7 linked regions of the Cricetulus griseus genome follow. The protein of the gene in region 5 interacts with the protein of the main gene of each other region in a pairwise test. Links are inferred from orthologs where the notes say so. Each region holds a gene or a part of one and is shown on either strand. Other genes may lie near its edges. The genes, in order: Necab2, Mid2, leukocyte receptor cluster member 1 homolog, KAT8 regulatory NSL complex subunit 1, Kifc3, Stx11 and Usp2.

Region 1 (4,334 bases), about 25 Mb from region 5:
GAGCAGCTGGGGTAAGGCTTGGAAGCCCAAACTTCCCCAGGAGACCCCAAGGCTGGGACCCAGGGTAGAGAGACTGCATCGGGCAGAGGCCTTCCCCACACTACTTCAGAAGCCACCACTCCCTCTCCCTCTGCTCTGCCAGCCTGCCCACGGCTGCTGACAGACACGCACATTCCTGCTGCACGCTCACAAACACCCACGTGTATCTCTGCAGGTGTACACTCACTCATTCCTCTAGACTCCCCCATTGTTGAGCACCCAGCTGCACCCAGCCATGCTCAGAACCCCCTGAGAGCTCCGTGCCTTCCCACCATTCGCTTTTCAGGACCCTCCTCCCCTTGCTCTGGCTTGCCTGGGTCCCTTCTGAAGGAGGTGATCTTGAAGCCTGGTGACAAAATCAGCCCACAGGAAGTATGGCGTCATTATGAGATGGGGGAGGCAGGCAGGAACGTTCTGGTTGCAACTAGCAGGGATGGGATGGGGAACAGACCAAACCTGGGACCTGCACTTTGAGACAAAGTCACTCCATGGTTTGCTGACATCTGAATCCTTCAAGGTCCTTTAATGACAGGTGCTGGGTGACCAGGGTCAAGAGGCTGTTTCTGGTATTTGCAGGGCACTTCCAAAAGCCTCTCAGTCCGGGCCATAACCCAGGCAGGTGGACCAGCAGCTCCATCAGACCAACGTGTCTGCTAAGGCCTTCTAACTCACAGAGGGATTTGATGTCCAACCCTGAACCTATTCAGTCAGGCTTAACTTTTAATCAGCTCCCTGTGGGGACTGATGTCCTAGCACTGAGATGGTCCCAGGATCCTGGAGGAATTGGCTCCCTTTATCCAGAAGGAAACTTCCAGCCCCCCCTCCTCCTCTCTCTCTCTCTCTCTCTCTCTCTCTCTCTCTCTCTCTCTCTCTCTCTCTCTCTCTTTCTCTCTCTCTCTCTGTTTTCCGAGACTCAGGAAGGTTTGATAGGGATCTGTTAGGCCAGGCAGGAAGTGCCACCCCCTGGAGTCTCTTTGAGTCCAAGGACAGATGGCTCTGCTCACCTGCACCCCACAAGCAATAGGACAAGCAAGGGAAATGTGTATTCTCAGGGTACTCCCAGACCCCAAAAGGCCTGGGTGTGGAAATGACTTGGTTGATGTGCCCCCAACTGACACCAAGAAAGGTGGCTCCTGGAACCAGCGTGACTGACACCCTCCCCCTACTGCTTACCCCACTTCACAGATGAAGAAATAGAGGCTCAGCCAGTACACAGCAGCAAGCGCAGAGGGAAGGGCTGGACAGGGCTCCCCTGAAAGAGGGCCAAGCTGCCACCTCCACTCTGGACTCTGCCTCAATCCTTCTGTGTGTGTGCATGTGGTGTGTGTGTGTGTGTGTGTGTGTGTGTGTGTGTGTGTGTGTGTGTGTGTGTGTGTGTTCATAAAGGCACTAGGACACCCATCTCTGAAACCCTCCTGCCCAGACAGATGTATGGGCTCTGAGATCTAGCAAGGGAAGCAAAGTGGGGAGAGGGTTTCTAGTCCCCTGACACTTGTAGGGGTGTGTGCCACACACAAACACACGCACATGCACTTACACACTCAAAAACACCTTGACTCTCCTAGAACCTCATAATATGTAAAGGTACCCGCTCGGACCAGTTCCATCCCCCAGAAGCCCCTCCATAGCCAGGCCACCAGCCCTCTCCCACTCATGTGACTCCCCCACTCTGCAGCGGTGAAGGAGCTAGGTGTGGTGCTTGAGGAGGTAGGTGGGGTAAGGAGTGAGTCTGGGGTCCAAGAGTCAATGGAAAGTACAGGAAGGGGAGGGTGCCAGGAGAGAGTGAAGGACAACAGCTCCGGGTGGAGCTGGGGGAGGGGTGAGGGCCCCTACGTCCGGGCATGGTTCTGATTTTATGGAAAGAGAGGTGGGGAAGGGGCTTCACTCGCAAAGTGGACAGCACGGGGGGTTGGGGGTGCTCAGCTTCCTTAGCAGAGAGTGAAGGGGTGGTTGAGGGGCTGTGTGTGGTCTCAGATAAGTAACACTGCAGGGAAGAATCGCGAAGAGAGAGGAGAGGGCTGGAAGTGCCCAGGGGCTCTTGTCCCAGTCATAGGGATTCAAGTGAGAGGGTTTGGTTAGGGCCAAAAGAGAGCTGCCAGACTTAATGGCAGCTCTAGGGGTCCGGTCTATGGGATTCGGGGATGCAGGAATGTAAAGGGAGGGAATGCAGGGGGTCGTGGAGTTCCAAGAGGGACAGGCTCCCCAGCCGCGATGAGAGAGGAATAGGGTCCGGGCTGTGGGATAAGTGGAAGCGGGAATATGGAGGGAGGGGCCTGAGGAAGAGGTTCCTGGTCCGGGTGTGGGGCTGGGGGCTCGAGGTCCCCTCTAGGAGGAGGGTCCCGGCTATGGGATGTGGGGATCTAAGGAAGTGGATGAAAAAGATGGAGGTGAGGATCGTACAGTCAGGGGGAGTTGGGGGTCCTGGGGGTCCCTGTGGGAAGAAGGGGTCCCAGCTATGGGATGTAGAGATGTGGAAATAAGGGAAAGTGGAGGGAGGGAATGGAGGGGATCGTGCGATCTGGATTGGGGGACAGGCGCCTCAGCGGCAATGAGAGTTGGGGGTTTGCGCTTGGGGTCTCCACGTCGAGGAGGGTCCCAGCTAAGGGATGTGGGGATGTGGGAACGTGCAGGATAGAGGAGAGGGTCCTCGGGTCCCGGTGCAGACTGGCACCCAGCCGCGCTGGGCGGAGGGTCCAGCGCATACTCACGTCCAGGATGACGGCCGTGCCCCCGCGTGGCACGGCGGGACCGGGGTTGGGGTCCGTGACGGGAATGTCGGGGACGAGCGGTGCGCGGGGCTCGCCCATCCTGGCGCCCACCCAGCGCAGCAGCCCGCCCAGCGCGCGGCCCTGCGGCGGCGGCTCCCGGAGCAGCCTGTGCGCGCCGGCCCTGCACAGGCGCGCCGCCCGCTCGCACATCTCGCCCGCCGACCCCCGCCCGGCCGCGCCCCCGCGCGCCCCCTGCCCGCGCCCGCCCGCGAGCGCCGCTCCCGCCGCCGGCCCGCGGCCCGGACACCGCGGGGACCGCCAGTGCCGGGGGGTGGGGGGGGCTCCCCGGACCCCGAGCCACGTGCTCCGTGCTCGCCGCCCCCACCCCGCCGGCCAAGAGCGGAGGCAGGGGACTGCCTGCGGGGGGTGCGAGGTCCCGCGGCCGGACCCTGGCACGGTCCCAGAGGGGGATGTCCTCGTACACACAGGACTGCGGACGGGTGTGGAGGAGGGTGGGAGCCCCCGGGATTGTGCCCCAGTCCCCACCAGGGTCCCGCTGACCCCGGGTCCCCTCCCCCGTGGTGCTAGTGTCCGGCGATCCCTGAGCGCCCTCTGCCGGCCGGTCCTCCCCGCGTCCCTTCCTCCCCGTGTCCCTTCCTCCCCTCCTCCACCCGCGGACGCCAGTTACCCTGAAGGCAGAGCAAGTTGTGGAGAATTGTGCAAGTGACTCAGACTTAAGAGACCTGGGCTGGACACCAGTCTGTGCAAAGGCCCTGAGGCAGGTAACAGGGAGGTGAGACTTGGAGACTGACAAGCAGACCAGGAACTACAGGGTGGACAGGGCTGCAAAGGGCTTCTGGAAGCCCCATTCCCTGCCCAGACTCTCCAGTCTGTAGCACTGTTCCCACAACTGCTCCACCTTGGGCCTCCATCCCTTCTTCTCCGGGAGCTATAGATCTCATCCAGGGGCCCAGTATGGGGTCTGTTTGTCCAGCCACTCCCCAAGCACAGACTTCTCAGGCACAGTGGAGGCACTGTTGGTTTTATTATGGACCTGATTCTGAAAGGTTCCACCTGGAGTCCTCCTAGTTGGGCACTCAGCTGGCCCCATGATTCCAGCACACACTGACAGCTTCAAGGGGGCCCAGGCCCAGGCCCAGGTGTCTCTGGCCTATGGCTACTGCTCTCACTTTGAGCCTTGACTAGCCTGAGGATGGGTAGCCTGTGTTCCCCATGCCTCTGGGCCAGACAGTCCATCCATAAGGCTCAAGTCTTCATCTCCTGCTGGGGAGACTGGTCCCCCCCATTGGGAAATCTTTAGATGGACTCATGTCCCACCGGGCTATGATAAGCCCCTCCTCTTCAGGCCTGGTGTCAGGGCATCTACAGACGTTAAGGTGGTTTCCTGGTCTCCTTCCTCAGCAGGGAGCTGGCAGCAGCCAAGGCCCCACCCTGGACAAACCTCACAAAGTTGTCCCCAGCCAGTGGCCCCAGGGCATACAGGCCCTCCTGGTGAGTGCTCTCATAGGTGAAGGGGTCCACATCAATGGGATTCCTCTTGGGGCTCAGTGGCTGATCTGGGTCTAT
Region 2 (3,707 bases), on a different chromosome or scaffold from region 5:
GGGGATGCTAAGTGAATGAATAATGTAAACAAAATCACACAAGAATGAGTATTGATCCTATTGATGAAAACAGCATTTCAGGAGAGCTTCATCTGAAAATACAAGTACATTTGGACTCATATAGTTGTTGAACCTGTAACACTATTCTTACTGATCAAGTAAGGCGAATTCTGAGGAACCTCCATTATGCAACTCTATTTTTTAGCGTAAGTCTAGTAACTATGTATTTGAGAGTAACAAAACTATATTTCTTTGAAATATTCTATGACAATTTTTAATAATTCAAATAAATCTCCTCTATTAAATAATATCAATGAAATTATGCTACACAGCACACTAGACCAGAATCAATTTTCAATGTAGCAGTAGCATCTCTTAAGCAATCTTGTCCACAGAGCTCTCCTAATCTAACCAAGAGCTCTTCTCACTCCCTGTGTCTTGATTGCATGTGTTTTTATGTGTGACAGGAGGGGGTCTGGGAAGAAAGGCTAAAAGGTAAGAAGAGAAAAACACCAGTCTACTGTGATGTTTCATCTAGGGGATAAGAATGGACAGTATAATTCATTTTCCTTTTCAATATATCTCTCACTTAAATGAACAAATTAAGGTTTATCGTATATATGTAATAGATAAAATGATCTATGCCATTTTGCTCATAAAATGAATTCAGTCATTTTATATATTATATATACACATGTATGATATTCTCATAACACCTTGATTGTTAGTTTATTAAAAAGTGACAAATATGATAATTTGAAACTGTGCAAATTCCATCTGGTCCACCTAGCCACTGCTAGAAAGGCTAATTCTTTCCAATTTCATTTATACTCTCAAACCACTGGGAATTTTTAATTTCCCAATGATGACAGAGATATTCTCTAAAATTCTTCCCCAATGTCATGAACCCAGACTATTCAGATCATTTGTTCTGAGTAACTCAATACATGAATCCAAACATAAGCTTTAATGCACAAAAAATTAAATCTACAATATCTAGTTATTTAGGGTGCTTCCAATGAACTGTATTTTGTATCTCACATATGGAACACTAATGGCGGCTCAAGAGGGGAAGAAATGCTGAAGTGGAGAGCCAGTGAATTACATGCTCTCTTGCCATTTAATGGCAAGCTTTCATCCCAGACACATAGGGGGATTCTTTAGGCCTGCAGTTGCATTCCTGCTGCTCAGGGTAATCAATAAAATCTGGGGCAGGCAAGCCAGACATGATCATGAGGGATTTGTTCCAGATTGTGAATGTTGGACAAACTGGAAGAATGAAGGTCACATCAAAAGTGTGGAGATGGAGCGAGTTAGCTGGGTCATAGAAAGACAGCATGTTGTTGTCATAATCCAAGAGGACACCTAGACGCTTCAGCTGTGGGGGCACATCCACAAGCATTTCCTTGTTGTTATGTCTCACCACGAAGTTACTGTTGCATCGGGAGAAGACCCAGGAAGAGGCATTCTTGCCAATCCACTCATTCTTTGGAGCTGATTTGTAGGCGATACCAATTGCATACCTGAGACAGTGGAGGAGAAGACAGAAAAGTATTTATGGATGATATGAGTTGTGTTAGACATTATTTAGGACCTACGAGTGACTCACTGTGCTTCTTCCTTAAAACATTTATATTTACAGGCATAATGCTAATTATCATCAGATCTTGTAAAGCCAGCAATTAGAGTGATACAGCACTTCAGCTCCTAGCCCACTATATTTTCCATGATTTTTATCTTTTAAAAGCTGGCCAAGTTTTCTAGCACTGGTGCCTATCATATATCTCTTAACCTTGACTTATTGGTATTTTAGCTGTGCGGTAGAATTGAATCTCCTAGGAACCTAACAGCAGAGAAGCTGGGACAAGGAAAGAAAAAAATAGCCACTCACCATGTTGAAGAACCCATGACTACCTCCCAGTAGTGGCAGCCACTGTCAATGAATATATTTCCTGCTGCCCCATAACACCCAGTGCCACTAAATCTCTCTGGGGTATGGCTTTTCTTCAGAGAGCTTTCATCCTTCTCCATCTGCAATCCATCATTGGAGATCTTCAACTTCTTGTGAGTCATTTTGGGATCTAGTTTAAAGGGTTGGCCTGAAAAAAAGTAGAGGAAAGGGGGAAAGCATGATCAAGGATTTAAGAACTGTGCCTTTCCCTCCGGGACCATCATTAGCAGAGGATCCTCAACATGACGGTGATCCTTCGCTAAGTGCAGGTCAGCTGGAGTTTGGATTATATTAAGGAAGCAGGCAAGATGGCACACTTTGCAATTAAGTCAGAATACAAGTCATTCCTCCCCTAAAATAACCTTCATTCAGGCATTATTTTCCATCTGTGTGAAAAATGTGGGGCTCTCATATGAGTGCTATGCTGGAAGCCAGAGTCCAAGCACATGGGAGCTAGTAAAGTATTCCCATCATATGTTATGAAACTAAAAGGGACCACTCAAAGTCTCACATCCTCAAATATGTTTGGTACTTTGGTTTATTTCAGTGAGTGGGTGGGGATGTGGGTAGATTTTTTAAAAGAGTGTTGCAATGTTTGAGGTAGAAAAGCTTGTGTTAATGAGGCCATTGATCACTAAAGAAAAACTGAGAAGAGCTCAGCAACCGGAGATGTTGGCTTTCTAATTGGAGAGTGCGTGTCATTAGTCGACTTTGTTACAGTGACTGCTCCATGGTCGATGATGAAAGATAACATGTGCTTTGCTGCAGAAACTCATAACCCTATGCCAAAAACACTGTCCCAGGCCCCCGGTGCTGGTTAGGGCAAGAGATTTAGTACACAATATGCCTCTGTAACAGACACTGTGTGCTAATACAGTATCCATTACTTATTTTTTTCTCTCTCTCTCACTCAGTCTTCCAGCCTTCCTTGCTGCTAGGGACAGCTAATAAGAAGGACACTGAAGTCAAAGAGACTGGAAGAAATTTCCAGTTAAGCTTCTGTTTCCTAATTAAAAGATTACCAACTTTTCCCTTCTTCCTAGTAAGGGAACTATGACATCAGCAGTTGCACTGGCCATCTTTCGACCTTGTGGGTAAACCAATGCACAAAGAAGGAGCTCCAACCTTCCATGAGATCTCAGAGCTGCTATACTAGCCATGATCAGGCTGCCCTCAAACTTCTTGCTATGTATGTTTAAACACAAACAAACTAACTAAAACAACTAGTAACTTAAGCTACTTGGAAATACTTGTTAAACTGTGTCAGTTGTGACCGAGAACATTCCTAACCGATAGGGCTTCTCTATGGTAGAGCTTTGTAGATCGTCATAAGAAACAACTCTTTAACTGAATTTTTCTCCCAAGCATAGGACCCAGGGGTGGAAGGCAGAGAAAAACCCTTCCCTAACTTCTTTCTAGGCCACAAGCTATTCTATATATCTTAGGCCACAAACATCCATGGGTACCAACAAATCCCATAGACCAAGCATAACAGTAAAGCTCCTCCACTCAGAGCCACTGCTCTCACACATTATAATGGGGGAGTCTCTCAGGCTAACTGTCCTCCCTGGCACAGAGAGGAAAGCTGGTCTTTCCTTCTAGAATCTCCAAAACGTACTGTTTGTTTTTAGCCTGGTGGGTTCACTGTTCCGGCTGCCCGCTTGATTTATGGCTTTCACAATAAAGATGTAGCGTGTCCCACTCTGGAGTCCATGCACTGTGTAATGGTTCTGTTTAATGTTGGGCACAATCATCC
Region 3 (4,329 bases), on a different chromosome or scaffold from region 5:
CCGGTTCTTGATCTTCTCGTCTGGGCTTGGGCCTGGAGGGCAGCCCCCTTGCCTTGGGGGGAGCTGGTACCAAGGAGGTTGCGTTTGAGCCTCTGCTGCGCTCTGGCCCAAATACGTCAGGATGCCTAGTGCTTTCTCTTGCCTCTCCTGTGGGGGCAAGAAAACAAAATAGTCTTCCCAAGTCCCTCTGGGAGCCCTAGATATGGCATGTGGCAGTAGGGAAACCCAGGGCCTGAGTTCCCAGTGAGGCAGGGGCTGGTGGGTATTCAACAAGGGAAATCACAGACCAGGGGCCAGCTACGCAAAAGTGCTGATGGCTAATCTGCAGGGGGCGTCTAAGGAAAAACTGCAGCAAAGCAGAGGAGTGGTTTCAGTGGGATGCAGGAGAGCCACAGTACAGTTCACAATGTGAGAAGCACAAGCGCCATCTGGCGACAGATGCTGACGACTAGCATTCAGGAGGCCAGCGCCGGAGGGGGTTGTGAGCTGGAGGACAGCCTGTCTGTGTAGTTGAGGTGTCATCTCAAAATAAACTAGCTAAGGTTAACATAAGAAACAGCTGTTAGTCACAGCTGGTAGCGCCCCACCCCACCCCACCGAAATCAGCCAACAGAGGCCAGCAGCTTACCTTCTCCTGTCGCTTCTCTTCTTCATGCTCTTTATTGCCTCTGGGCACTCCTTTCCCTTCTTCCAGCAGCTCCCTAAACAGGTCCACAGGGCCAGAACTTGGAGCGCCTGCCTCTGCTGCTTCCAGCTCAGGGCGTGAGTTCTGGTGCCTGGCTTTCTTCCGTAGGAATTCTGTTCGGGCCTGTGAAGAAAGTTATAGGCAGGACATTCAGAACGTAGAAGTGCTGGGGGCTCCAAGGAAGGGCCATGAGCCGGCTGGTGGTGACACACGCCTCTAATCCCAGCACTCAGGAGGAAGAAAGAGGCAGGTGGATTTCTGTGGGTTCGAGGCCAGCCTGTCTACAGAGTCCAGGGCAGGCAAGGCTACATAGAGAGAAGCTATCTGGAAAAAGGTTTAAAAAAAAAAAAAAATTGTGTGGGGGGGGCGGGGGTAGAGGTACTGGGAGCCAGAAAAGACACCATTTCTAATTTGAAGTGGAGAATGGGGTTTTTGTTTGGTTTGGCTTTTGAGATAAGGTTTCTCTGTAAAACAGTCCTGGCTGTCCTGGAACTCAGTCTGTAGACCAGGCTGGCCTCCAACTCACAGAGAATCTGCCTGCCTCTACCTCCCAAGTGCTGGGATTCAAGGCATGCGACACCACCACCCGACGAGAATGGTTGTTTTTAAACAGTTAACTGGATTACCAGGGATATTTGGGGAGATCCCAGCCTAAAACAGAAGGGTTTCCACAGCCTGGAGTCATGCAAGAAAAACAGCTATCAAAAACCACTCAGCTAGGGGCTGGAGAGATGGCTCAGCGGTGAAGAGCACTGACTGTTCTTCCAGAGGACCTGAGTTCAATTCCTGACAACCACCTTGAATGAGATCTGGTGCCCTCTGCTGGCATGTGGGCAGAAGACTGTATACATAATAAATAAAATCTAAAAAAACAAAAACTACTCAGCTATAAGGTATAGAGGTGGCTTGTTCACCCATAGAGCCCCTGCTTAGTGTATGCCCAGCACACACATGTACAAACTCCCAAATACAGCTTATTAGGAAGCCAAACACAGTTTCTGGACAAAAGATCTGAACCCCAGGTGTGGCTCCAGGTCAGCATCCCAAACACATTAGTGATGGCCCGTGTCACTCCCATCCCAGGTAGGTTCTGCATTGCCACCAACGCCCGGCTACTTCCGAAATTTTAAATACCCACACTACTTCATGATCAGATTGGCCAAGGGACTTAATTGTAAACTAACATGATTGAGTAATTACTAACGCCTGTGCATGCATGCGTGGTCTTCAATCCCACATTCAGGAGGCAGAGGCAAGAGATCTCAGAGCTCGAGACCAACCTGGTCTACATAGCCAGTTCCAGGGCAGCCCGGGCTACATAGACCCTGTTTCAAAGAAAGCCTCTTTGGTGGCGCACGCCTTTAATCCCAGCACTCGGGAGGCAGAGGCAGGGGCAGGGGGATCTCTGTGAGTTCGAGCCCTGTCTCCAGAGTGAGTGCCAGGACAGCCTCCAAAGCAATACAGAGAAACCCCTGTGTCGAAAAATAAAAACAAACAAACAAAAAACCGAAAGAAAGAAGAAAAAAAAGAGAGAGAGAGAGCAAGCCAGCCTCTGGGTGTGTTTGGGGGAGCAATGGTGGAGAAAGAAGAGGTCTAACGGAGTGCACTCCGGCTTGCCCGCCCTTTGCCCTCCTCGTTGAAGCCTTTGCAACTCCAAGTCGCTCTAAGAGGGTCGTGTCAAGTCTAGCGCTCTGCAGGAGGGGGGGCACGCATACAGTGGGTGCTCAGTAATTAACTTGTGCGGACGATCTCCAAAGTGATCGGGGCAGCCGTCCCACTCCGACGTGCTAGCCTGCGGTCACTTCAGCCACACCAGGGGGGGGGGGGGAAGGGGATCCAGGACGGTTTCGCGCAAGTCAGCAAAGGATTTGCGGAGAAGCGTCAGCAAGCACAGACCCGCGGCTGCCACCGAGTCACCCACCGACCCAGCGAGGCCCGCCTCGCTTCCGGGCCAGCCCAGGCTCACCTCCTGCTGGGCGAGCAGCACCCTCCGCTCACGCTCCTTCTCCTCCTCCCGCGCCCGGGCCTCATCGCGCCGCACGCGGGCGACGTTGTCCTTGTTTCGGACGTGCCAGCTCTTCTTGGGCAAGATATTCATGGTCCCCCCGCCGACCTCCGAGCCAGCGGGCCCCCGACTCCCACACTTCCGATTGGCGCGAGGGTGCCCCCGCCCCGTGGCCCCACCCTCGCCTGTGCATTGGTTCCCGGCCAGACGCCACGCCCACTTATGACCCTATCCAGGGGTGATTGGCTAAGAGGCCCTCCATCACAGCCAATCCCAAACGTTTGCCACCCCCGGGTCGCTCCACCCCGGACGCCGCCGTGTAGGGCTGATGCTGCCCCGCCTTGTCTAGCCCTCTGCTCGCAGACACAACCCGGGACCCGGATCAGGCCCCTCCCTAAACCCTGTCCCCAGCTTCAGGACCCGGCTTCAAAATGCAAAGCTGTTGTTTATTAATAACGGTGCAACTGAGAGTGTGGCACTGGGGTGGGTGGGGTGGGGTGGGGTGCGGAGGACTCGATCCAGAGACCACAGGGTACCAGATAGGGAGGTGTAACCACGGGTCTCGGGTGGTCAGATGGCTCCGTTCGCTGAGCTCAGAGCCACAGCTCGCTGGGCTAGGAAGACTTTATTCTTCGCTTCCTGAGGGCAAGAAAAAAGAAAGGGGGTGGAAGTGAGGCAGGCCTACTCTACACCCTACACCCGAGTCCTTCCCAGGTTCCCAGGGGGCCCTGGCCGGGGAAGCACCATGGCTCACCGTCTCTATCTGGCGTTTGAGCTCGGAAATGAGGCGTCCGTAAGAGTTAGCCAGGGCTATTGTAAACACCATCAGGATGCTAAGGAAGACAGGGATGAAAGTTACTTCAGAAAAATAAAATAAATACACACACACACACACACACACACCCCTTCATCATATGGCTCCTTAGAAACCAGGATCACGCCCGGTGCTGGTGGCACACACCTTTAATCCCAGCCCTAAGGGAGGCAGAGGCAGGCGGATCTCTGTGAGTTCGAGACCACCCTGGTCTACAAGAGGGAGTGCCAGGACAATCTCCAAAGCCACAGAGAAACCCTGTCTCGAACCCCCCCCCAAAAAAGAAACCAGGATCAGGACCCCCAAGGGCCACTGGCTTCTGCTTCAGACCAGGAGGAGTCCATACCTCTGCCCTCCTCCCTCTGACCAGGGGTCTAGACTGCAGACCTCCTTTAGACCCAGTGTTCAAACCCAGACTTCTTTTCCTTAGACCCGGGAATCCAGACCCCAAACCAGATCTAGGGAGACCCCAGTTGTCTTCCATGCCATAGGTACCCAGGCAGCAGCCCTCCTCTCTAGCAGCCCCCAACCCCCCAACACTAAACCACACATATCCAAACTCCGACCATAAAGTCTGGAACCACTTACCAAGAGAGGATCAGAAGGGGTACAGCAAAAGCCTGCGTCCCCAGAAAGTAGAGAAAGTTCTGGGCGGACTGAGGGAGGGTTTCGATGGACTCCGGGATGTGGACCCAAATGGACATCTTCCCTTGGAATGGACCGCACAGCTTAGAAGGTGGGATCCTGCGGGCAGAGACACACTGGGCTCGATCAGGCAGGGCCAGCCAGCGTGAGGACCCTGTGATGAACGCAACGGGGAACGGG
Region 4 (3,707 bases), on a different chromosome or scaffold from region 5:
GAAGACAGTGGAGACTTTTTTACCTCTAACTTAACATTTGTCAAGTTAGAGCTGGAGTCTGTACTAGGTGATAGCCTACTGCTTCCTTGAAGTGCCGGCTGTTCCATGGAATTAACAGAAGATTTGTTTGCAGCGCTATTATTGCTATATAGAGTTGTGTGTTCTATATCAAGGCTTCTATGTGGAAGAGTGCAATTGGTCATACCCCCCTTCAAGTTCCCAGAGTCAGATCCCCCCACTTCACCTCCCTGCAGAGCAGATGAAGTGAGAGACCGTTTTCCCCCATTGAGGGAACTGGAATTGTCATGATCCGAATGTGTTGAACTTTTAGTCAATTTCTTAGCCAACCCATTTACAGGCGCTTGTGGCAGAGCTGTCTGACCACTTGTATTCATGGTTCTAAGGTTTTCTAAGGAAAACTCCAAAACTGGCTGTCTCCCCAACAGCTCAGCTCGGAGTTCATAGGACTGAGATAAAAGAGGATGAGATTTAAGGACTGTCTGCTTGCTGAAAACCCCTTGTAATTTCAAAGACTCTTTTGCGGGAACAGATGTTACATCAGAGCAGAGATAAGATGCCACCAATGGTTGCAGCTTTCCCAGGTCTTCCTTGGTAGGATTATTTCGGAAGTCTAGACCGGAATCCTCTGCAGCAATGGCTTTTCTTTTGGTTCCGTTGGCAGAAATAAGGATATTGGCGCTGCCGTTATTTTCGGCACTGCCAGGGGACAAGGTGGAGGATGGGGGAGCCAGTTTGAACCGGATGTGGTGTGCTTCAGCTGCTGCGTCAGTGAGAGCGGGCGCCATCGCAGCCATTCAGCACAGAGAGACAGGAAGTCCAGCCTCTTCCAGTGCTGAGGCCAGCTCCACGGCCCCTTACTGCCTCCCCTGAGAACAAACTGAAAGAGATAGAGAGAAAGGAAGTCAGAAATACAAGTGAATTCAAAAACAACACACATTTTCAATAGAAGCACCACTTGAGGCTATTGTCCAAACTCTGCCTCCAAATAAAGAAAATTAACTAAGGAACCATTCTACAGCCTTCAGATGTCTTTCACCTAGGGGAAAGAGAGGAACACAATGCTTTCACAAGAAAATAATTTTACCCTTCGTGTCACTTGTTAACCACAAGCTGAATATTGTCAAAATAGAAGTCCCATTCTGAAATAATCACAAATGGTTACAATTACCTGCACTTAAAACCTCTTTGCCAGGTGGTGGTGGCACATGTCTTTATTCCCAGCACTCTGGAGGCAGAGGCAGGAGGATCTAGGTTTGAGGTCAGCCTGATCTACAGAATGAGTTCCAGGAAAGCCAGAACCACAAAGAGAAACCCTATCTTGAAAAACCAAGGGGGGGAGGGGGCTCTTTAAATGTTAAATTACTAGATTTAATATGACCATATAAGAGGAATATCCAGTAATAGAAAAACATGTTATTCTCATTAAAAGGTTTATGCCAAAATCTCATGGATTTGTGTTACTTTTCTGGCCAGGAATCCAGTTCTCATTAGCTCATTCCTTACAAATTTAGATTGTTACTACCAGGCTAACTACATCACACTGTAACATCAATTTGCTTCATTAATTTTCTTCTTTCATATAGCACATAGTGTCTTTTCTACTGGGCTATTTTTCAGAGTAAATCTGTGTCTTTAAATTAATAGCCCAACATAACTTTCTCCCCCTTCCCCCAAAACACTTCAAAGGAATAGCTACAGTTACCTTACTATTCACTCCTCTAGAACTTAGTTTCCATTCCTATCACACTCCAGGAAAATTAACCAGTAATATTATTATCCAGTTATTATTAAATCTACAGTCCTATTCTGACTTTCCCATAAGTATTAAGTAATATGGACTTTCTTGAAATATTCTTTCCTGATATTCTTGGCATTATAATTCTATTCTATTCTTCCTTTCAAACCTCCTAAAATGTTGGTACCACCCAAGATCCCTTCCTTCTGCCTTCTCTCTCATTTCCTTAGCAACAACTACTAGTAAGAGGACCACTAACTCTCAGAAAAAAATTCTGAGCTGCACTAATTAACTTTCTAATCTGATCATCCTTGGAAACTCAGAACTCTCTTTCTTCTTTCAATAAACCTTTTCCTTTCTCACCCTGCCTCATTTTCTTAATGACATACCTCAATTAACTGCTGCTTCTTCATTCCTGATTCATCTATCTGGGTCTGGAAGCAAAGGGAAATCTATATAAAGGACTGTTTCAACTATCCCTAAAAGCCCAATCTCTGTACCTCTAGGGATCTTAATACATACCCCCCCCCACACACACACTACTGCTGCTGCTATGTGTGTACACTTGTACTTCCAGGCAAACATATGCCTACAGTGTGAGTGTGGCCAGAGAACTTCAGTAATATTAAAACATCATTTGCTTTTTTTAAAAAAAAATGTTTATTGGAGGCTAGAGAGAGGACTCAGCAGTTAAGAGTAATGTCTGCTCTTCCAGAGGACCAGGGTTCAATTCCCAGCATTCACATGGCAGCTCACAACGTAACTCCAGCTCCAGGAGTTTTGACACCTTCACACAGACATACAGGCAAAATATTAATGCACATAATAATAAAATTGTTAAAAAAAAAACAAAAAAAATATTTTTGTGTGGGGGTTGTGGATTCCACAGTACAGCTGTGTAAGTCAGAGGGCAATGTGAAGGATCTGGTTCTCTCGTTGGAACCTAGGAATGGAACTCAGGCCATTAAGTGCCTTAGGTCCACTGAGCCATCTCTGCTGGCCCTGCCTTTTACAAACTGTTAACATTTGCAATGTGGGTCCAAAAACAGAGATAAGCAAAACTGCTGGTACATACCAAGACAATAGCACCAAACAATGAAAGTAGTCAAAGTATTCCTCACTTGCAGCTTAAAAAAAATGCCAATTACATTTAGGATGTTCTTGGGCCTGTTAGATAGCCCAGCAAGTAAAGATGCCTGCCATCAAACCTGAACATCTGGGTTTAACCAATTCCTTCAAGTTGTCCTGATTTCCACACATGTACTACAGCATGAGTCTACATACAGTCACAAAATTAACTATTAGTTTATTTTTAAAAGATGTTCTTGATGACACAAGTAAACATTATGGATTTTGCTAATTTTAAAACTTTTGAATTTCCCAGATAATTACATCATCTATCCCTCCCGCTCCTCTCTCCAAACCCTCTCATATATCCCTCCTTGGTCTTCTTTAATTGTCTGTGTTGAAAGGAATGAGTACAAAAATTCAGCTTCATGAAGTCTCAGAAAAAATTATCACATTTAAAAATGTTTGTTTGTGAATATTTTGTCTGCATGTGTATCAGTGCTGTGACTGGTGCCTGAGGAATTCACAAGAGGGCATTGGTTCCTCTAGAACTGAAGTTTAAGACGGTAGTGAACCACTATATGAGCACTGGAAATAGAATCCCAGTCCTCTGGAAGAGTAATCAGTGCTCTCAACCACCAACCCACCCCTCCAGTCCCCGAACTATTAAGTTGCCAAGCTAAGCCAGCCTTCTTGGAATGCCATCTTTTTATAAAGATTCATTTTTATGTATGAATGTTTTCCTCCATATAGGCATGTATATGTGTATGTGCACCTCATGCATGACTCATGCCAGACAGAGGTCAGAAGACAACAAGGAATCCCTTGGAATCAGATCATTCAGTTGCTGACTGAGTACTGGGAACTGAACCAGGGTCTTCTG
Region 5 (4,487 bases):
CAAACTCAGCTTAAAGAGGCATCGTGGAGTTGTACACCCAAGGGACATCCTACAGAGCTACCTGGATTGTGGACCACTTTCAGTTTCCTCATCCCTCACTGCACTGACCATCTCCTGCCAGGCAGCAAGAACATGTGTTGAACTGGGTCTGTCTCTCTCACCCTCTCTGGCTCCCTGCGAGTGAGAGGCATGCATGCATGCATGTGCGCACGCGCGCGCGCGCGCGCGCACACGCACACACACACACACCCCAAAGCCAGGAAAGGAGGACCGGCTAGCCACTAAGACTCAGAACTAAAGGCCACGACTGCTACAGGTAAGGACGAAATCAGCAAGGTTGACCAAGATGGGAGACAGTATTAAGTAAGGACAAGGCTGGGGTGAAGAGGGCGTGGAGGGGTGGGAACAGTAACTGGAAGAGGGAGGAGGTCAGAGAGGTGGCAGGAGCTGCCTATGTCATGCACAGAGTCCTCAGAAGAAGCTGGGCAGATAAGTAGGATAGTCAGGTGGTCATGGCAAAGCCAAAGAAAGCCCTAGAGAATTCTGGGTGGGGGGTTATACCTACCATCCCAGCACTCAAAGGTTGCAGGTTCTAGGCCAGCCTAGGCTGCAAAGCAAGTTCAAATTGGCTCAAGGAATTGGAGAGGGCCTAGAAGGCAGCTGTTTTCTTCTTTGGGGGAAGTTTAGCGACGATGGTTAGGAGAGGAACTGAGACAGGGGAGAGGTGGCATTGTGGGGTAGACAGAGGTGCAGGAACAAAGCATCTAGAAGCAAGGTGGGGAGAAAAGAAAGAGTCTGGGGTCAGAGACTGATGCTCACGGGGTCAAGTACTGAAGACAGTGGGGTCGTGGTCTCTTCCTTCCTTGACTGAAGACAATGTGGGGTACACAATGAGAGGGGGACAGGAATGTGGGACAAAGGGTAAGGAAGATGCTGACCCATATAAGTAGCCTCACAGCGCTGATGCCTTGAGATGTGTGTAAGGGGGAAGAAGCAAGAAGAATGGATACAAATGTCCTCTCCAGGCTGACTGGCACAGAGCTGGGCATAGAGCCAACCCTATAGCCAACGGGGGATGATGAGAGGACCGTCCTCTGCAGGTGCTCCTACAGGGGAGACCACGTAGGACAGAGGATTGATTCTAGGGGACATCAGCTCAGTCTAGGAGGTAGAGGCTGGAGACCATATTTCTGTGCCAGCAGGACGGGAAGTTGGAGAGGCAGCCTGAAGAAAGAGGAAGGGTGTGTGCTAGATCCCCAAGAGGAAAAGGCAGCTGAATTTAGCAGCTGGAAACCCTGGTGTGAGGTCAGGAATATCAGGGAATCTCAATCAAGCCCAGGGTTCTACACCGAGACAGCAGCGCAGGCTCTCCTACACAGGTGTCTTATCTGGGGTCCTGGAGCCTCTACTAATCTGGAATTCATGGAGTAGATCTATGAGAGTGGTCCAGGCCTTGGCCCTGCCACCTATGAGAATTAATCACCTAGTCTTTGTCTTATCACCTCCATGTATAAAATGGTGAGAGCTGCACTTCATAGGACCGGCATGAACATCAGACAATACATGTGTGAAGTGTACAAAGAGCTCAGAATGCTATCTTTTGGTGTACTGTCCCATTAGTGGGTGAATGCAGAGGCACATTGGGGGAGGGGTATGTGTCTCTCTGGGTTTAGGCCAGGATGGTAGAGCTGCCTTCCTCCTGCTCTAGACCAGAGACAGTGCAAAGACTAGGGGTATACTTCATAGTCGCTTATACACCACTGCTGGAGATAGCCTGGTTCTCCTGGGTGAGCATTTTGGGGTGGCTAGACTGGGCTAGGGTTTCCCTGGCACACAGAACATATTCTGGGTAATCCAGATGTCAAATTCCCTGCTCCCTGGAACCCATCCGGACAGCAGAACTCACCACCCCAAATCCTGAAGTCCAGCCCCACAAATACACAGAACCATTTTGGGGCTGCATTCCTAGCAAATGACTCTCTCTGGCCAAGGAGACGCCCCTTTATGAAGGGCACAGGGGAAAAAATCCTACCAGGCCAGAAAGGGCACTCGCCCAGTCTGGGGCAGAAGGACACTAAGGAAGGTGAAGCTAGGGGTAGTTCCAATGCCCAAGCTTGACATATGCATTAAAGAGGGTGGGATGGGGTGACAAATGTACTTAAGAATTAAAATCCAGTTTCCTCTTTAAACTGTCTCAGGACTGGGCCTTTCACTGTGTCGGCCAGAATTCCGTTCTTACTTGCAGTAGGAAGGCTGAAAGGGGACAGACAGCTTCTGGGCTCCCCCTCCCTGCCGGGATTCCTCAGCTGCAGCTGTCAATGACTTGATTCGTCTGGGCTTGTGAGGGTTATCTCCGATGCCTTTCCTCCTAACCTAGGGACTGGCGCACCCCACCTTGGGCCTGGCCAGAGAAAGCAACTACCCAGGGACCCAGAGGGAGGGCCAAACTGCAGCCTTCCTGGGAGCGACCCATGCAGGGGAAGGGGGCGCGCTGGCTGACACGCAGCTCCCAGGTAGGCTCTGCACATTCCCCACCAATGAGATCCAAAGCGAGTCCAGGCAGCGCGACCCCAAAGGCCGTGCCACCCTCAAGCCCAGCGAGATTCTTCAGCTGGAGGATGCAACGGGACCCCACGCACAGCCGGGTCTCTCTCGGGCCCGGACGCCGCGCCCTCCGTAGATCGGGATAGAGGGGTCCCCGGGCAGGGTGGGCGCGGTGCCCACCAGACGCGCTAGGGGAGCCGGTCCCAACCCGTCCTAGCCTGCCCGGACCCCGACTCACCGGCCTAGCGGAGACAGGATCACAGCGTCGCCGCAGAGCCCAGGGCTCGGCCAGCTACGGCCCGCCCTCGCGAGGCTGCTCCACGCCGCCGCAGCTGCCGCCGCCTCCTCCTCCTCGGCCCGCCCCGCGCCCGCCCCTCCCGCACTTTCCACAGGAAATGATTAACTCAGGCCGCGGCGCGTTTCCATGGCAACGGGCTCGGGAGGGGGCACGCTCACTCTCGCGCACGCGCCTGCCCGGGGCGCATGCCCCTTCTACTCCTACCCCCAACACAGGCTGATAAAACTTCTGCGCTCTCCCTCTGGTGCACGCGCCCCAGCACACCTGCCTGCGCCTTTGGAGAAGGCTCACGCCAAAGTGCCTGCACACACCGCAGTGCCTGCACACTTGCCCTTACCCAGCCTGCAGGAACGCAGGCCTCGCCTTCCCACCCAGGTGTTAACATTTGGTTACACTCACCCTCAAATGGTTGGCACTCTGCCCCTAATCCAGGTGCAGAAGTTTCACACACTCCAGCTAAGATTCACACACATCCGGCACACAGAATAACATTTTAAGAATGCATTTTTTTCATTCTAGCACACTCACGCATGCTCTTGCACACGAGATCAAACATATACACACGTTGACCTGTTCTGGTACACGGGCATGCACTCTCTCTGTCTTGGTCCTGCCTGCCATACTGTCTCTCCAGCTGCGCCCCTGCTCCCCAGCCAATGAGCATCTTCTTGAGAAGCCTGCTTGGGGTTCCTTAAGGTAACACATTCCCTTAAGCTCCAGCCAAACAGCTCAGAGTGCAACAGCCCCCAATCTGCCTTAAGCGCTCCTCCTGGAACGCCTGGGAGCCTCAGAAGAAGCCTGGGGGAGAGCAGGCCCAGCCAGGCAAGAGAGACAGCTGACCCAGAGGAACCACTCTGTTCTTTGTCTCCCAAACAGAGAAGCATTTATTTCAGCCACAGTGTGCCCACTCGACGGTGCGGAAGGAGAAAGTGGTGCAGGAGCCTAACCAGCAGAAGCTGATGATCCCCAGAGAACCTCCGAAGCAAGCAGCAAGCATGGGGGGTCTGCCCCTTCTGGCTTGGCAAGGATGGCTTATGAGGGAACAGTTCAGATGAGCTGTTTCCTGCTTCTGCTGCTGAGACATGCGACTGGGAGTCAAGAATCTGAACCAAGACAGGCACAAGGGTTTAGGCCCCAGCTGGAAGCATGCATTGTCTCCTTTATTGGAGGCTCTTTTCATAGGGTAGGGGGTTGTCTGTCATTAAAGTTTGAGTATAAAAGCAGAAACATTGTCTTGCTTAAGGGTTGGGACACTGACATTAACTTCAGCTTCCTTCTAGCAAAGTCAAAGTCAAGGTTCTTTTTTTAAATTAATAAAAACATTTATTGTTCCCTTTTCTCCAGTTACAAAAGTAATGGATGTTCATTGTAACCATAATCCCACCCACTGGGAATAAATGCTGCCAACACTTTATTTAGTACAGCCTTTCCCCTCTGTGCACATAATGGACACCATTTATTCAGAGTGAGCATAGTGCCAGGCACTGTGCTGAGCTCTTTAGACACAAGATCCTGTCTGACACTGTTCAGTCCGGGAACTTGTTCAAGAGAGGAAAGGTTCCTTGGCAAACCCAGAATGTGTCAGAGCTGAGGCTCCAAGTCCAGCAGAGATGTAAACCTATGTACATACATACATGGAGTGCCT
Region 6 (4,282 bases), on a different chromosome or scaffold from region 5:
GTCACCTACCCCTTCCAGTTCCTGGGCAACCCTCATCTATAGTCAGGTTCATTGTTTAAAAAAAAACCTCTTTATACCATCATAAGTCAAACCCGTGCCAAAGCTCAGGAACACAATGCTTAACACACTTTATCTTTTATTTCTTATAGAAGACATGACTCTGCAGCTGCAGAGGGAGAGATGAAATGTAGAGATTAAAGCTGTTTTAAGTTGAGCAGTTGTCCTTTACTACTTAGCTACCTCAGAGGACTGGAATGTTTGGTCCTCCTTAATCCTTAGGGATCCTGCACAAGAGATGCTGATGAATACTTGACTCCTACTTATCTTGCTCCCTGTACACATATATTTAAGATAAGGTTTAAATTCATAAATGATTCACAGTAAGAGATAAATGAGAATTAATAGGAGAACAATTAACAATATAGCATCATTAATTCGGTATGAATGCACCCCCTCTCTTGAAGTATCTTACTGGCAGGTGCGGTGGCACACACTTTTACTATCAACACTCAGGAGGTAGAAGCAGGCAGCTATTCATGAATTCTATGTTAGTCTGGTCTACATAGTGAATTCCAGGCACAGGATAAACAGTGAGATCATGTCTCAAAATAAATCAAAGTGTATTACTATCCCTGGAATTTTCTACTTAATGTATCAGAACTTAGGTAACTAAAGTCATGAAAGTCAAGTCAACCCCTCAGATGAGGAGCAACAATTGTATGCACCCATGAGCAGAAGGTTGCTTCGATCTAGTGGTCTACAGTTAGGAACCACCCATTAATAGTCTTTTTAAAAGGACACATAACTAAGAGTGGCCACAACCGCCTAGGAGTGATAACAGACTGCATTTACCATTCATTACACAGCTACTAAGTAACATGAAACATGGTTAATTCAAACACTTAAAAGCCATGTTCACTAATGTGCCTTTAAACTACATATTGAATGAAAACCAGGCTGCCCACAAAGACAAGTAGGTGGGTGGAACTCAAGCCTTCTCTTGTTGTCCCAGCAATGTTCCAGGACACTCTGAAACTCAAGGCTTCAACTCACCCCCTGCCGGGGCACCTCCTTTGTGTATAGATTTCTCATAGCACACATCTCATGATGTTGGATTTCCCCAAGTCTGCTCAGCTATGGTCCTAGCTGCCAGGATAGCATTGTGTCCATGGTCGTATACATGGAACTTGGTGAAGAGGCTGGAGCAGACCAGAGCCTTGTAACTGCTGTCTAGGGCTGATATCAGCTCAGTTAGGGTACAGTTATTCCTGTCTCTAGATAGGTACAGTTATTCGTGTCCCTTCCTTCTGGATAGGGAAGTCCATTTCTGAGAGCCACTATTCAGACACATGAGACTCAACATCTTAATGTCTGGCTCCAGCAACCATTGAACTTCTTCAAAAGCTTCTAAATGTTTCTTAGAGCACTAATGTGGTAAAAGTAAACTATCTGAAATATTTTTAGTTTCAGAATGACTTACAATCACTCCATAAAATGTCCCATTCCTACCAAGCAGTGAAAAGAACAACCAAATGGTTATTGGATAATGAAATTAATTTTCTGTTGAGCTTCTGCGGCAAAGCACGTGATTCTAAGGGCTATCTCAGATCAGCCTAGTGACCCTGGCTGGCATGTTGTCCCATCAGACGCTTTAGGAAACTGAAAACTTGAATAGTTACTTCCTAGGCCGCCTGCCCCAGTTTGACAGCACCGGTCTCATTTGCTGGTCTTACTCTAAGCACAGGGATCCAACATCACTTTTCAAAGGCTTATTAACAAAGTCTCGCAATTAGAGCAGCCTTGTGACTCATTTTTGGATACCCGTGTAGAAACAACAGCTCCTCCCTCTGCTGAGAAATGGCTCGAACAAGTGTGAGAGGGCCACAGGAAGTAAAGCACAGGTCTCAGCTGGTGTTCGTGGAGCCCAGAAGCTGACAGAATTCCGTAGCGTGTTTCTCTAAGCAAAGTTATCAGGTCTCTCTCCTAAAAACAACTCCTCAGTGTCTTCTGTGGGAGCTGTTACGAGGAGGTATCGATGTTCCTGTATTTCCTGGCTCCTGAGTCATACTGTCAAGTTCAAGTCAAGAAGTGCCGGTTCTGATGTGTTTGAGAAAGTGGCAACCAAACCATTCAATAAGACAGAATAAAACAAAACTCAACCTCTCGATTGAAAACAAAAGTTGTCTCGGGTACCTTTATAAAGTCAGTCTACAGTCGTCATTTCTGAAGCACTTCTGATGAAGCATTATACTCTCGAACATTTAAAAAGCTTTCGGCTCTACATGAGAAACCCAAAGCCTCATCTAGAGGCGCAGAGAGAACCACACCCCAAAACCACCTGCTGCTGTTCAGCATCCCATCCTGGGTCAGCGCGATCCCTCCAACCCAGCCAACCCCCTGCCCACGTCCTCGATGCCGAAAAAGTTAGAGAGCCTAGTGGACTCGTGCGACAAAACGAACCGTGATCCGGTGGGGCGCTGATCCAGCGACGGGACGCCCGGAGGAAACCGGGTGCGCGTGTCCCGGCGGCCCTGCTCCCTGCGCTTCTTGCCGGCTGTGCTTCTCAGGCGCGGAGTGAGATCTGCGCCACCCCGACCGCATCTGGACGCCACTGTCCCCGCCCCCGGCGCTCTGAGGCCGCACAGCTGGGGACCAGGCCCCGCCCCGGAGACGTCCTCCGCTAGGCGCGCGGCTTCCTTACCCTACTGCAGTCGTCACGCTGCAGGTTGCCGGGAGCCTAGGCACGAGCCACCTTCCCTGCCTAAGCTCCGCCAGATGCTGCGGGGTCAGGGGTGGGGGTGGGGAGCGTGGACCACCCGGGAACTTTCTCTGTCTTCCCTCCCGCTCTGGGATGGAGAGATGGACAGGGCGGGATCCGTCGGACTTCCCCCGGGGAAACCCCACCAACGCAGATGACATTTGCAGTCCAGAACATTTCCGAGGCTAGGATGCTAGAAACCGTTTCTGGGCGTGGGTGTGGCTGCGCAAACCAGGACACTAGCGAAGGCTTAACCGGAGGCTAGAGCTCACGGAGACACTGAGCCCCGCCTTCTACCAGCCCTTTCCCACCTGCTGTCAGTGGGGCGCCCATAGGAATATTCCTGGCACCCTACTGGAGACTCAGAAACAGAAAGGGGGGTGCTCGGTGAGGGGGTGGAAAACAGATTGACAAACGAAGTGAAAACTAACCATCAAAAGGGGCGCATTGGTGCCAGGAAGCCACCAAAAGAGCTCGGAGTGCTCAAAGCCGGAAGGATTTCAGGGACAAGATAGTACGAGAAAGTAACTGAAGTTATCCATCTAATGTGAATAGATGGCTGACAGTCTCTCAGAAGTTATCCATCTAATGTGAATAGATGGCTAACAATCTCTCAGGCAGAGCAATTTCAGGTAACTGAGGCAGAAACTCCATTCTCATGGAAACGACGCGTGTCTCTGCACTCTGGGAAGGGACTGCCCCCAACAAAGGATAGTAGGAAGGGGTGGGGGCTAGTTTTTACCACACAGAGCTGGCATGCACTTCACCCAGTGCTCAAGGCCAGAAAGAACACTGGGGATGTGTGCTCTGAAAATGCTGATGGGAGCCGGCCAGAGGTGGTGCTTGCCTTTGATCCCAGCACTCCGGGAGGCAGAGGCAGGATGGCCTCTGTGAGTCTACAAAGCTACACAGAGAAACCTTGTCTCGAAAATAAATAAATAAATAAATAAATAAATAAATATAAATATGTTGGTGGAGATGGAACTTTACTCCTGAGGCTCTTCTCCTCCACACCCCAGTCTTATCATGAAGGGCATACCAAATGAAGTCCAGAAACCCTTTAAGTCTCCCTAGCTACCGGCCTGGGAGGTGGCTCCGGGGTAAAGTGATTGCCCTTTAGCTTGAGGATCTAAGTTAGATTCCCTAGAACCCCCAGAAAAATATTGTGCCTGCTGATCCATGCCAAACTTTGGTAAGGTGAGGATAGGCACACACCTGGGGCTGCCTGGCCAGCCAGGCTTGAATCATTGGTGAGCTCCCCACCAGTAGGAGACCTGGTTTCAAAGGAGGTGAATGATATCCTGACCGTGAGTCTTAGGTTGCCTCTGGCCTCCACAAGCACAAATTCAGGCATTTGCAACCCTCCGTCAAATGCCTGACCAATATTACCCATACCTGTCAAAAGGTCATAAACAAACAAAGGGAAAAGTTAAACTGCCACAGAAGAAGGCAACCGGGAAACTAAAAATGGTCTCTTGGGGCGTGGGAAGTGGGAGATGGAGCTAAACAAAAACAAAGAGTCTA
Region 7 (3,707 bases), on a different chromosome or scaffold from region 5:
GGAAAGGTGAGATATTTGCTTTTGTAAAAAGCAATTTTATTTTAGTGTGTGTGTGTGTGTGTGTATGTGTGTGTGTGTGTGTGTGTGTGTGTGTGTATGTATGTATGTATGTATGCTTGTGAGTGCCCAAGGAGGCCAGAAGAGGGTGCTGGACCCCTGGAACTAAACTTACAGGTTGTTGTAAGTTGCCAGACATGGGTTCTGGGAATCAAATATGGTCCTCTGTAAGACCAGATGGCTCGCTCAACTACTGAGCCATCTTTCCAGTCCCAGGATTGTGTACACACACACACACACACACACACACACACACACACACACACACACACTGTACACACACACACACACACACACACACACACACACCACACACACACACACACATACACACAAAACCTTGAGCTAGGTATGGTAGTGCACACTCATGAACCCAAGTTAAGGTAGAAGGATCAGGAGTTCAAGGCCACCTTGGGCTACATGAGACTGTCTCAAAAAAAAAAAAAAAAAAAAAAAAAAGACAACTATCCAACCAACCCATGGATTAATCAAACAATGAACAAACAAGATGGAACCCTGAAACTGGAGTCAGGCATGGTGTTGTATACCTGTAATCCCAACGCTTGGGAGGCTTAAGCAAGAGAATCTAGTGCTTGGGTCCAACCAAGTTTGGATCCAGTTCTGGGTCCAGAATCTGTTGTTTGAGACACGGCCTTACTGTGTAATGAATCCCAACGAATGACAGGCAAAGAAAGAAAAATAGAGGGGTGGAGCATATCCAAAACACAGCTATCAGTCCAGCCTGATACAAGAGCACAGAGCTGGGAATGGAAGCGGGCCACGCCCACACGGGGCTCCTCACCTTCCATGAGGGCTGTGTGTGCGTTGCTGGTGTGGCCGAGGTCCCGCATGTATAGCCTTTGAAGGCAGTAATCTCTCAACTCTCGGGTGTTGCTCAGGCACTGAAGAATTGAGTTCATGAAGCACTACAAGAGACAATCTGAGCAATTAGTGGATGTGCAGAGTTCTAAGTTTTCTACAAGCTGTTGATTCCCAGCTAATGGCATTATGGAGATGTGGCAGCAACTTGAAGAAATGGGGCCCAGTGGGAACACTTCATGTATTGGGGGACTTGCTTCTGAAGAGGCCTAGAGGGCCCCAGCCTCTCCTCTCTTTTTGCATCCTGGCCATGAGGTGAATGGTTTTGTTTGCTGCACATGTACTACCTTGTCACAAGCCCAAAGCAACAGAGCCAATAAGTCAGCCATGAACTAAAACAGCCCAGTAAACTTACTGTCATTTTAAGTTGATTTATCTTGTCATAGGGGCAGAAAGCTGGAACACGGTGATGGAGTTAAGACCCTTACCCAGGACTTCTATTACTTGCAACCAAAGGCTCTCTGTTTCATCTATCCAAAAAGGTTCCTCTTTCCTGAGTGGAGGCAGGGAGGAGCAAGGCAAGTCCCCACTATGGGGAAAGGCCATATAATTGGTTATTTCCTATCGAGGCATACAAAAGGGTGTGGGCACACTGGTCAGAAGTGGGTGGGAAGTGCTGGGATCCAGGAGGAAGGTCCAGGAGAGCAGCAAGCTGGCAGTGACAAGGGCAACTTCCTTTTAGTGCTTCCTGCTGGGGGCGGGTGAGACAGAGCCCAGCAATTCACTGAAACACCAGCCAGGAAGGGCAGGTGCGGACTGCCCTATAGGATAGGTCGTCAGCTGGAGCCAGGAGGGGACTCTATTGGATTATTCCAGTCAGGAGAGGAGGGCATGGCCTCTACTCTCCTGGAAAAGAGTGAGTTGGGAGGAACTTACCGTGTTCCCAAGGTTTCGAAGACCAGCCAGACCCTGGGCACTCTTTGAATTCTGTAAGCAAAGAATATGTGTCATATATAGAGGCTCAGAGCCTGGGTCTGTACAGCTCTCTATTCAACACCCTTGCCCTCACCACTGGAGTGCTCTTTTCTTCTTCTTTGAGACAGGGTTTCTCAGTGTAGCCCTGACTGTCTTGAAACTCACTCTGTAGACCAGGCTGGCCTTGAACTCACAGGGATCCACCTACCTCTAGCTCCTGAGTTCTGGGATTAAAGGTGTATGCCACTACCGCCTGGTAGACTGTTCTCTTTTCAACCTTAGTCTATGGGTCTTGGAGAACAGAGCATGGAAGAATGCCTACTTTCAACACACAAACTATTCTTCAGGGCGTCACTTTTTTATGGTCTCACTGGGTAGCATAGTGAACTTGTGGCAATCCTCCTGCTCAGCCTCCTGAGTTCTGGGATTTCAGGTGTGAGCTACTACGCCTGGCTTCTCTATATTCTTTCTCTGCTACAGTGGAGACTAGATATTAAAACTAGAGGCTATGGATTCATAAATCCAGGAATATAAATTTCTTGCTGTAAGAAACTGAAAGTCTAGGTCAGGCATGGTGAGGAATGCCTACAATTCCAGCACTTGGTAAATGGAGGCAGGGGGATTAGGGATTCAAGGTCAGCCTCGGCTACATTCACAGGTGAACCCAAAGGCTAGTCTGAGCTATACCAAACAACAAGAAAAGGTTTCACATGCCAAATCCAGGTTCTATTTCATATGACCTATATTTGTACTAGACGTTCCAAGTATAAAGGAACCATCATAATCGGCACTTTAAGGGGGTTGAGAAAGGTTAAATGACAAACCATTGCAATTGAGTTTCGATCTTCAGCTGGGAAAAATTCAAGCTGCCTGCCATTCGGAGTTGCCAGAGACAGGTGGAATTCCTTCCAGCTGAACTCAGCTTCTAAGGGCTGAGCCAAGGCAGGAGGATCCTACCCGCCCGCCAGCCCTCCCGCCTCAGGTTTCAACATCCCAACTAGCCACTGGCTGGAAACACTTGCTGTGACATGTGCCGCCAAGCTGAGGAAGCACCTGGCTGAAGGTGCCACTCTAGTCTTTGCTGTGGAGGCTGGTGAGGGGGCTGGAGAGAGAACAGGTGCGAGATTGTAGCCTCTGAGCATTATTTGTCAAGGTCTCTTAGCTAACCCTGGGCACACCACCTGGGAATCAGAAAACCTTCAGGCTCAAAGGGTTAAAGAAACAGTGCATGAGTTTGTGGATGAGTCTGCCACCCCCTCTCTTAGAAAGGGGGCCTCGGAGAAGGCAACTCTGGAGCAACACTGGCTGGGGCATGCGTGGGGCCAGCTCAACCCTCATCAGAACAGGAGCCTGAAATAACTCAGCTAAAATTACTCATGCTGTGTGCTGACAGCCTAGGAGGCTGTCAGCGGCTCAAAGCCCATGAGACTGTCAGCTTCAAGGGGGGAGGGAGGAGCAGGCCAAGGGAGGGCTTTTCTCAAGAAGTCCCAGGCCCATCCCATAAGTAAGAGGATCCCTCCCCTGGTCAGGTCAGTTGTCAGGTCCAGTTCTAGCAGGTAGAGAAGAAAGCACACTCAGAAGAGAGACATGGCTTAAACCTTCAGCTGGAGGGTCCGCCTGCTGGCAGCAGGTAGTGTGTAGCATCCTCCATTGACTGCCCTGGCCTGTATTGCTAACCCTAGGTTGCCCCAAATAAAATGTGAATCCCACCACTGGGTGTCATTGTTGACTGGGCTTGTCTAGTGTTTGTAAGGTCCTGGGTTCAACCCCTGGTAGTGGCAAAGTGGGAATTCTGCCTTGCTGACAACAGCAGTGGGCCCTATAAGGGGGCTACCACAGAGACAGTCCCTGAGGGC

The links.
Region 1: the proteins of Kifc3 (region 5) and Necab2 interact in binary tests that used the Homo sapiens proteins (3 or more experiments, as listed by UniProt). The two-hybrid records come from large-scale screens. The link is inferred for Cricetulus griseus from reciprocal best matches to the Homo sapiens genes KIFC3 and NECAB2.
Region 2: the proteins of Kifc3 (region 5) and Mid2 interact in binary tests that used the Homo sapiens proteins (3 or more experiments, as listed by UniProt). The two-hybrid records come from large-scale screens. The link is inferred for Cricetulus griseus from reciprocal best matches to the Homo sapiens genes KIFC3 and MID2.
Region 3: the proteins of Kifc3 (region 5) and leukocyte receptor cluster member 1 homolog interact in binary tests that used the Homo sapiens proteins (3 or more experiments, as listed by UniProt). The two-hybrid records come from large-scale screens. The link is inferred for Cricetulus griseus from reciprocal best matches to the Homo sapiens genes KIFC3 and LENG1.
Region 4: the proteins of Kifc3 (region 5) and KAT8 regulatory NSL complex subunit 1 interact in binary tests that used the Homo sapiens proteins (3 or more experiments, as listed by UniProt). The two-hybrid records come from large-scale screens. The link is inferred for Cricetulus griseus from reciprocal best matches to the Homo sapiens genes KIFC3 and KANSL1.
Region 6: the proteins of Kifc3 (region 5) and Stx11 interact in binary tests that used the Homo sapiens proteins (3 or more experiments, as listed by UniProt). The link is inferred for Cricetulus griseus from reciprocal best matches to the Homo sapiens genes KIFC3 and STX11.
Region 7: the proteins of Kifc3 (region 5) and Usp2 interact in binary tests that used the Homo sapiens proteins (3 or more experiments, as listed by UniProt). The two-hybrid records come from large-scale screens. The link is inferred for Cricetulus griseus from reciprocal best matches to the Homo sapiens genes KIFC3 and USP2.

The regions. Positions count from the first base shown.
Region 1 is NC_048596.1:196,080,153-196,084,486, reverse strand, and holds the start of Necab2 (N-terminal EF-hand calcium-binding protein 2), read right to left. Parts: upstream 2,958-4,334; coding exon 2,748-2,957; intron 849-2,747; exon of another isoform or gene 1-848. Other genes in the region: Osgin1 (oxidative stress-induced growth inhibitor 1), read right to left, coding at 4,140-4,334. UniProt on the Homo sapiens protein: May act as a signaling scaffold protein that senses intracellular calcium.
Region 2 is NC_048604.1:39,570,356-39,574,062, forward strand, and holds part of Mid2 (probable E3 ubiquitin-protein ligase MID2), read right to left. Parts: coding exon 3,570-3,707; intron 2,100-3,569; coding exon 1,892-2,099; intron 1,524-1,891; coding exon 1,121-1,523; 3' UTR 1-1,120. UniProt on the Homo sapiens protein: E3 ubiquitin ligase that plays a role in microtubule stabilization. Mediates the 'Lys-48'-linked polyubiquitination of LRRK2 to drive its localization to microtubules and its proteasomal degradation in neurons.
Region 3 is NC_048602.1:21,581,492-21,585,820, forward strand, and holds the start of leukocyte receptor cluster member 1 homolog, read right to left. Parts: upstream 2,853-4,329; 5' UTR 2,784-2,852; coding exon 2,652-2,783; intron 809-2,651; coding exon 629-808; intron 148-628; coding exon 1-147. Other genes in the region: Tmc4 (transmembrane channel-like protein 4), read right to left, coding at 3,261-3,329, 3,445-3,523, 4,093-4,248.
Region 4 is NC_048600.1:117,451,339-117,455,045, forward strand, and holds part of KAT8 regulatory NSL complex subunit 1, read right to left. Parts: intron 2,191-3,707; 5' UTR 2,146-2,190; intron 899-2,145; 5' UTR 816-898; coding exon 1-815. UniProt on the Homo sapiens protein: Non-catalytic component of the NSL histone acetyltransferase complex, a multiprotein complex that mediates histone H4 acetylation at 'Lys-5'- and 'Lys-8' (H4K5ac and H4K8ac) at transcription start sites and promotes transcription initiation.
Region 5 is NC_048596.1:171,341,576-171,346,062, forward strand, and holds the start of Kifc3 (kinesin-like protein KIFC3), read right to left. Parts: upstream 2,910-4,487; 5' UTR 2,783-2,909; intron 1-2,782. UniProt on the Homo sapiens protein: Minus-end microtubule-dependent motor protein. Involved in apically targeted transport. Required for zonula adherens maintenance.
Region 6 is NC_048595.1:275,905,864-275,910,145, reverse strand, and holds the start of Stx11 (syntaxin-11), read right to left. Parts: upstream 2,801-4,282; 5' UTR 2,461-2,800; intron 1-2,460. UniProt on the Homo sapiens protein: SNARE that acts to regulate protein transport between late endosomes and the trans-Golgi network.
Region 7 is NC_048597.1:155,786,565-155,790,271, reverse strand, and holds part of Usp2 (ubiquitin carboxyl-terminal hydrolase 2), read right to left. Parts: intron 1,864-3,707; coding exon 1,813-1,863; intron 984-1,812; coding exon 860-983; intron 1-859. UniProt on the Homo sapiens protein: Hydrolase that deubiquitinates polyubiquitinated target proteins such as MDM2, MDM4 and CCND1. Isoform 1 and isoform 4 possess both ubiquitin-specific peptidase and isopeptidase activities.